2 linked regions of the Tamandua tetradactyla genome follow. The protein of the gene in region 1 purifies or fractionates together with the protein of each later gene. This does not show direct contact. Links are inferred from orthologs where the notes say so. Each region holds a gene or a part of one and is shown on either strand. Other genes may lie near its edges.

Region 1 (3,745 bases):
CATTTCACCCAAGAACAACAAGGAGTCTTAGGAACTGGTGAAAGGGATAGAAGAGGAGCCAAAATATGAAAACATACTGGCTCTGAAGATCTTAGAGGTCTTAGATAATATTGACTTACACAACCTGTTTCTGTCCGACTTCTAAGGAGCTTGAGAGAGTGGGGAGCCAGTGAGGAAGATGCTTCCTGCTCACTCCCAAAAGGATCACAAAATCTACCAGATGTCCCAGCCATTCAAGGCCTAATATTTCCACTCCTGGGGCTCTATCTCCTGCTGGCTGTGAGAACTGAGACTCTAATGTCCTGAAGGCCAAAGTCCTATGAAGAGCAAAACAGGAACTAACAGAGGAGCCTGGAGGGTGAGTGATGGGATTTTCAGATGGCAGAGTCCAGGTGGGGAGGCCACGGACATTTGACAGGCCCTGGATCTGCTCCACAAGAGTGGTAAACAAAGATGAGGTGATTGGAGAGAACACAGAGAAACTTCCAAGGAGTAACTTCATGGGAGGCAATACTCAAGGACTGAGGTGACTCCATAGGGGCTGTGGAAGAGGCCCCCTGCTTCTGGTCACCAGCAGAGCCAAGGCCCCAATACACAACTAAAGGCATTTATTGGGAAAAGGAAACTGAGAGGTGGCCCTCAATGTCCTCACTGCCTGAGGCAGTTGGGGCCAATTTAGAGTCCAGGAAGGAAGGGGCCAGTATCCTGGGCCCGCAATGGGCTCAGGTGTAGAGGTCAAAGTCAATGCGTTTGGAGTTGTAGAACTGACCACCAGGGGGGTCCAGCTTCCGGCAATATACACCATCCGAGAAGTAGCCTTCATTCACCCAGGTCTGCAGGGAGAGAGGGCAGAGCTGGGGGAGGACTGGAAGCAGGGGGAAGGGTAAGGGAGACAAGGCAGAACAAAGCAGAAAGGAGCTTACCTGCATCTGGGTGCTGGTAAAAGGCCCATAGAGCTCAGCATCCCCTGTGTTCTCCCACTTATATTCCCACATCACTTCCGCCAGACCATCCCCAAGTGACTCTGCTTCTAAAACAAGAGACAAAGCCATTTGGGCCTCAGTTGCCCTTCCCCTGCCCACAACCTTCCTTTTCTGCCCTCTACACTTACCTCTCTGGACAGCGGTTGGCGTCTCCAGCTCCCTCTCTGCCACTTCCTCAGCGAACATGTCCAGAGTGGGTGGGGGTGTAGGATCATGAGACCCCTGGGTCCGGCACCCTAGCCCCTTCAGTCGCATGGCCAACCGTTCCCGAGTCTCCTGATACACACCAAGGTTGCCCCGGGCCACCATCTGGTCAGCCAATCCCGAAAGTCGATCCAGGCGCTGGGGGGAGCTGGGCCGCCCAGGACCCTTGCTGCCCCCTTTGCCTCCTCCTCGGGCTCCCAGGCGCCTCAATGCTCCAGCAACTGTCTCCCTTGGCAGCAGCAGCTCCAGAAGGCCCTCCAGGAGGGCTTGGGCACTCATCGGTGTCTGGCCCAGACTGTCCTCCTCCTCTGAATCTGAGGCCTGGCGCTGATCAGGTGGTCGCTCCCGGATCTTTACCTGTAATTGAAGACAAAGGACTTACTTCCTACAAACTGCCAGAAGGCCCCAGGTCCAGCACCCACTGCCCCCAGGCCACAGACATGCCATCCCCTGGGCCACACCCAGTCAATGTTGTCCAGCCAGCTGTCTCGGATCTGAGCATCCCGGTTCAGGAAGTAGTTGCCATCTGCATCAAAGTGGCCTTCCTCCATCTCTTCCTGCAGGTTGAAGGGCGTGATTCGCACACCCCCCTCGCTGGGGAGTGTGGCTGCTTCCTGACCTGAACCAAAGACATAGACTCTCTATGTGAGGCAAAAAAGAGACAAGAATCTCCCTTGCCCCACAACTCAGAAGCCCCTCCTTGTCCCTCCAGTTGAGAGTCAAATTTTGGGGTATGGCTCACCTTCCACATCCTCTGAGGCCAGGATGTCATATTTGCGGGACCCCTCCTCGTCGTCATCCTCCTCATCACTGTCCAAAGAGTGTTTGCCTTTGAAGCGGCTCCCAGGGCCCCCAGCCACAGGGTCCACCATCTGTATACAGGTGAGAGATGAAGGTTACTGGCTGCTCCCCAAAACATTGACCCAAACTGAAAATCCTCCAAACCCACTCCTAAAACAATATGGAAAAGCCAACCCTCCAACATCTTTGTCCCACCAACTTCCTTCCTCTTCAGGCTTTTGCCTCCTCTCTACTAGTCCCCCAGAACGCAGGAGTCTGGTCCCCTCACCTTCTTCTTGGGGGCAATCATTTCATCCTCATCATTTTCATCCCCCACGCCCTGGAAGGTCACTTTCCTCTTTGGCATGACGGAACGGTGGGATCCCCTAAGCTGTGCCGAGAAGAGTGGAGAATTAGAGATCTGGGCGAGGTGGAGACTAGCCACCAGAGGGCCCCTGGCACAGCAAATTTTTCTTCCGGTACATGCCAGGTCCAGTTCGGGAGGCGAGGGAGCATTAGAGTCAGGAGCCAAAAGCGGAGCTGGCAGACAGTCGACCTCAGGGGTTTGGTCTGGCATTCAAGAACGTGGCTGAAGCAGGGACTGTAAAGGATTTTCCCATGGCCACCGTCGGTACCCCCATTTTTGACCAAAGGAGAGAGCTTCCCCCATGTGACCACCCTCATCCCCAAGCCCCGCAGGCCACAGCGAAACAGGGCTCCGCGGGTTACACCGCAACCCCCTCCCGCCGCCCAGTTTCCAGAGACCGCGGGGCCCGCGCGGACTCAGGACCTGGAGTCCGGGCCTCTCTGCTCCTTCTTACGCCGAACTCCCAATTCCGCGGGGCAACCCCTAACTATCCTGGGGTACGAATACAAATTAGAGGGACGGCAAGCATACGAGGATCCCAGGAAACCCACCCGCGCGCGATCACCTGGGGCTCCAGGGGAGGAGGGGAACGAAAGCAAGAAGGCTGTCGCTAGAGTTACATCCGGGGCACCCGGGCGCCACTACCCGGAAGAGAAATGCGGAAGGCGCCAAAGAAAGCCGGAAGTGGCTTCACTGCGTTTACACTAACTGGAAGAGCGGGCGGAAGTACTCAGGGAAAGAGGGAAGACACCCACCGCGAGAGGTGACGTGAGCTGCGTGGGGAGGCCATAGCAAGAAAAGAGGATATATGGATGCCTGATCATACCAGAGAGGTGGCAGCAAGTGGTTTCGATTCCGTAAGACAGCAGTTGAGGCTCTGGGGAAAGTGGAGTCCACTCGGTTTAAGAGGGCGCCAGGGGTCTGGATAGAGGGGCAAAGTCCAAGCAGAATCAACGATTCCTGCCCTAGTTTTTCTTTCCAGTGTTCGAGTCACCCTTCCTACAGGGCTGGCCAAGGGTTCTGCGCCCTCATCATTTCTGAGAAATTCTCCCTTCCTACTCAGAGCGTCTAATATTCTGCCATCTTCTTTCATAGCCTGGGAGGAGTGGCTTTACTCTTTTTCCCGTCGAGAGGAAGCCCGGCTCTTCAGATGATGCGCCTCGGGGGCCCTTGACCACACTTTGGTTTCAGAACCCAGTTCCCTTTAGGACCCATTTGCCCCATGCCCCGCCCCAGGATGAGCTCCTAGTTTCCAGGTCGGAAAGCCAACTCAGTGGGACCAGTGCGCAGTATCCAGGCCCCAGGCCCCTCGAACCCTGCTGTCAGGTAGGCATGAAAAAGGGTAGCAGCATGTGTCTGAAACTACAGCCACAGGATAAAGCTTCCCCTTTACCAAACAAGGCCCCAACCT
Region 2 (3,745 bases), on another chromosome or scaffold:
GGGAAAGGCCAGGGTTATTCTTGCCACTTCTCAATGAGGAAACTGAGAATTCAAGACCCAGGACCAAGTAAGCAGCCGAGCCATTTTGGGTCACGGCAGCCATCTGTGCAGCCATGCGTCAAGCCTCCTTATGGGGCTGGTGCCACACTGGTTGCCCTATGTCTACTGTCCCTTACTTCTGCAGAGCAGGGCTCCTGAGGTCCACTCCACAATAAGGAAACTGAGGCTCGGGGAGGTGACATCCCTTACCCAGGGTTACACAGCAAGCTAGCACAGGAACTGGGATTTGAACCTACGTTGTCAGACACATGGCCTTTTCCCTCCTAGCGCCGAAGGGTGGGGAGTGGAGGGTACAGCTGTGGCGTCCTGTGGCCTCTATCTGTGTCCTCATCTTTAAGGAGCCACAGACCATCAGGGCTGAGAACAGAGCCCTCTTCTCAGAGCCCCCCGAGGACACAATCCAGACATGCCGGCAGCCAGCCTGACTGGCGCTCTGCTCCCAGCCGGGACCTGGCGTCCAGTCCCCCAGATCAAAATTAAATGATCTATGGAAAATACAGCGTGGGATTTCTGGGGTGGACAGGGGGAGGGAGATCTGCTAGTTGGTTGTAGGAGGTGGCAGGTGTCTGCCCCCACCTCCCCCAGGAGCTGACTGTTCTGTCTGCTCAACCCCCTCCCCCAACATACACACAACCCAGTCTCTGAGGGGTGGGGAACCCATGCCCAGTCTCCAACATGGAAGGCACACGTGGTCCTAGGAATTCAGGAGTGAACAGGACAAACAAGGCCCTTGCCTTTGAGGATCCCCAGTGAACACTGGTGGTGGTAGTGGTGGTGGGGTTGATCTTCAAAGCGACCTGCACAACAACCATAGCAGGGGACTGACGGGGAGCCGCCGGAACCCAGCAGCGGAAATGAGCAATTTTGGGTAGGGGGTGTCCGAAGGATTGTGTGAACTGGGCCTTAAAGTTATAGACCCCCCCCCAAAAAAGCAAAACAAAACCAAAAAAGTTACAGACCCCCTCCTCAAGATAAAAACAATGGCCACACACAGATGCGCCATATTTTGCACTCAATTTTCAAGGGATTCAGACACAAAAGCTCGTCTGGAGCTTCTTGGCAGTTCACAGACCCCAGGCTGAAAAGCCCCATCCAGGGGACATCGAAAGGCAGCGATGGCTGACTGTGGTGGTTACAGAAGCCCGGAGCGGGCTGAGGAGCTGGGGGTCTGCAGGAGGTCACGCTGCACTGTTCAACACTCGATGGAGTCCACTAGGAGGACGCCTGTCCACGGAAAGGCCGTGAGGCAGTGGGCACCGCGTGGCTGCAGGTGACACAAGCCAAGGCGGGGTTTCCAAGCTCTGGGGTTCGATCTTCCGCAGACCCTGTTCGCACACCCAAAGGAACGCATGCGCAGTTGAGCCGACTGAGCAAACCTCCCTCGCCTGCAGCCAAACGCACTTTGGGGCGCCGACCTCGGCCTTCCCGTGAGCCTCTGGGTCAGCCTCCGCGCGACCGACGGAAGCAGCCGCTCTTGGTTTCCGGCAACACGGCAGCCGCCGGGCGACCCGGAAGCGTTCCCATTTTGCGTCGTCGGGGCTCGGCGGCGGCCCGCTCGGGGCAGACGTTCCACCATGGGGTCGTCCAAGAAGCACCGCGGCGAGAAGGAGGCGGCCGGGACGACAGCGGCGGCCGGCACCGGGGGCACCACCGAGCAGCCGCCGCGGCACCGGGAGCACAAAAAACACAAGCATCGGAGCGGCGGCGGCGGTAGCAGCGGCGGCGGCGAACGAAGGAAGAGGAGCCGGGAGCGCGGGGGCGAGCGCGGGAGCGGACGGCGCGGAGCTGAGGCCGAGGCCCGGGGCGGCGCGCACGGGCGGGAGCGCAGCCAGGCCGAGCCCTCCGAGCGGCGTGTGAAGCGGGAGAAGCGCGATGACGGCTACGAGGCGGGTGAGGAGTAGGACCTGCGGAGGGACGGGGCCTTCAGGGGTCCCGCCGCGTGCGGGCCTTGGGATTAGGGACAAGTGCTCGCCGAGCACCGCCCCGGGTTCTCTCCGTCAGCCCTAGTTACTAAAGGGTCCTCCTTTGAGGCTCTCTAGAGACCTCAGTTGTCTGTCACATCACAGGCCTTAAATTGATGTGTTGAGTAAGTTAAAGGATGAATGAATGAGGTCACTATAGTGTGTGCAGATTGTCCTTAGGGCAGCAGGGAGTCATGGATTTCAGTTGAGAAGTGAGATGATCAGATTCACATTTTGTAAAGTTCGCTGCTTGGAGGGGTGGATTCAGAGTAGGCAAGACTGGAGGCAGAAAAACAGGTGTGGGCTGATGTTGGACAGTGCCAAAGCAGCAGCAATGGAATAGAGCCCGGAGACAGATGGAAGAAGTGCTTAGAAGTCAGAACTTGGATGAGGGTGGTGAAGGAAAGGAATTGAGGATGGCCCGTTGGATTTTGACCTGAGCATCTAGGTTGGTGGTGGAGCTGTCTATTGAAATGGGGAAGATGAGAGGAAAAGCAGACTTGTGGGAGGAGGGGAATAATAAATTCAGTTTAGGGGCATATTGAGTTTGACATGCATGGAGAAACACAGGGTCAGGGCTGAATAGGGTCATTTGCGGGGGTATGAGTATTTGGTTGACAAATGAAGTCCACTGAGAAAGAGTGAGGTGTGAGAAAAAAGGGTCAGGACGGGAACCTGAGAAATGCCAACGTTTTAGAAGTGGGCAGAGGACAATGCTCCAAAAATGCAGGTAGAGGAGCCAAAGGAGGAAAACCAGGTGAGTCTCAAGCATGAGGTCTGCGGGAAGAATGTTTTTGTTTGTTTGTTTAAGATAGTGGTTTTAGAAGGGGAGTGACATGCCACAAGAGATTAAGCAAAACCAGAACTAAAAAATAGCTAATAGGTTTAGAAATGGGGCTGTTGACCTTGGAGAGAGCTCAAAGGGGTTGGAATCTTAGGCCCAGGTGGAGAAAGGAACCTTTGGATAAAGAGGTAGGTTGATAGGGTGGGAATGCAAGCCAGGTGGCAGCTAGCTGGGGTGTCTAACTTCTCTCTGTGATGTTCAGTGAAGTAATTTGCTGTTTGTGAAGTGGGTGGAAGAGGACTGAAATGCTTTTCTGTCTCTGTTCCCAGCATCCAGCATAACAGAACTGGCACTAAAAAGTGTTTGCTTCTTGATATATGAATCACATGTGTAGATTTGGTCAGCCCCTGACTCAGTCATGCTGCCCTTATGGTCCCTGTACTGTCAGGGAGAAACAGCCCCAGAAATAGTAACCGTGCTATGGGTTTCAGGAGAGAGCAGTTAGTTCTGATCCAGTAATTGACAGGCCTTCACAGAGAAGATGGTGTTTCATCTTTGCATTTGGGTAGGATTTTACAGTGCAAACAAGGCCAGAGCGAGGGCAGTGCAGGTTGAAGGTGCAACGTACAAAGGTAGAGAGGTGGCAGTGTGAGGGAGGGATGCAGAAGATTGGCCCTCTTGGGACAGAAAAGGGAAGTATGTAGAAGCAGGATTCTCAGAGGCTGCAGCTCAGATAGGAAGAGTTGTTAGGAGGAAGACTGTGAGGGAAGGCCACAGTTGCTGCTGTTTGCAGGTGTCTCAGCAAGGCTCAGGTGCTGGATAAGGGATGCTGGCATCTTGACCCTGGTTCAGCTCCTAAGCCACATTTCTTGTTCCAGCTGCTAGCTCCAAAACCACCAGTTCAGGAGATGCCTCATCACTCAGCATCGAGGAGACCAAG

The links.
Region 2: the proteins of CD2BP2 (region 1) and SART1 purify together in Homo sapiens (affinity purification with mass spectrometry; 4 studies listed by BioGRID and IntAct, with this or other methods). This does not show direct contact. The link is inferred for Tamandua tetradactyla from reciprocal best matches to the Homo sapiens genes CD2BP2 and SART1.

What each region holds. Positions count from the first base shown.
Region 1 is NC_135349.1:24,206,080-24,209,824, reverse strand, and holds CD2BP2 (CD2 antigen cytoplasmic tail-binding protein 2), read right to left. Parts: upstream 2,980-3,745; 5' UTR 2,900-2,979; exon of another isoform or gene 2,886-2,899; intron 2,880-2,885; exon of another isoform or gene 2,758-2,879; intron 2,359-2,757; 5' UTR 2,335-2,358; coding exon 2,257-2,334; intron 2,060-2,256; coding exon 1,930-2,059; intron 1,807-1,929; coding exon 1,649-1,806; intron 1,545-1,648; coding exon 1,112-1,544; intron 1,031-1,111; coding exon 924-1,030; intron 855-923; coding exon 723-854; 3' UTR 592-722; downstream 1-591. UniProt on the Homo sapiens protein: Involved in pre-mRNA splicing as component of the U5 snRNP complex that is involved in spliceosome assembly.
Region 2 is NC_135335.1:8,562,297-8,566,041, reverse strand, and holds the start of SART1 (U4/U6.U5 tri-snRNP-associated protein 1), read left to right. Parts: upstream 1-1,527; 5' UTR 1,528-1,634; coding exon 1,635-1,950; intron 1,951-3,683; coding exon 3,684-3,744; intron 3,745-3,745. Other genes in the region: TSGA10IP (testis-specific protein 10-interacting protein), read left to right, coding at 399-540. UniProt on the Homo sapiens protein: Plays a role in mRNA splicing as a component of the U4/U6-U5 tri-snRNP, one of the building blocks of the spliceosome. May also bind to DNA.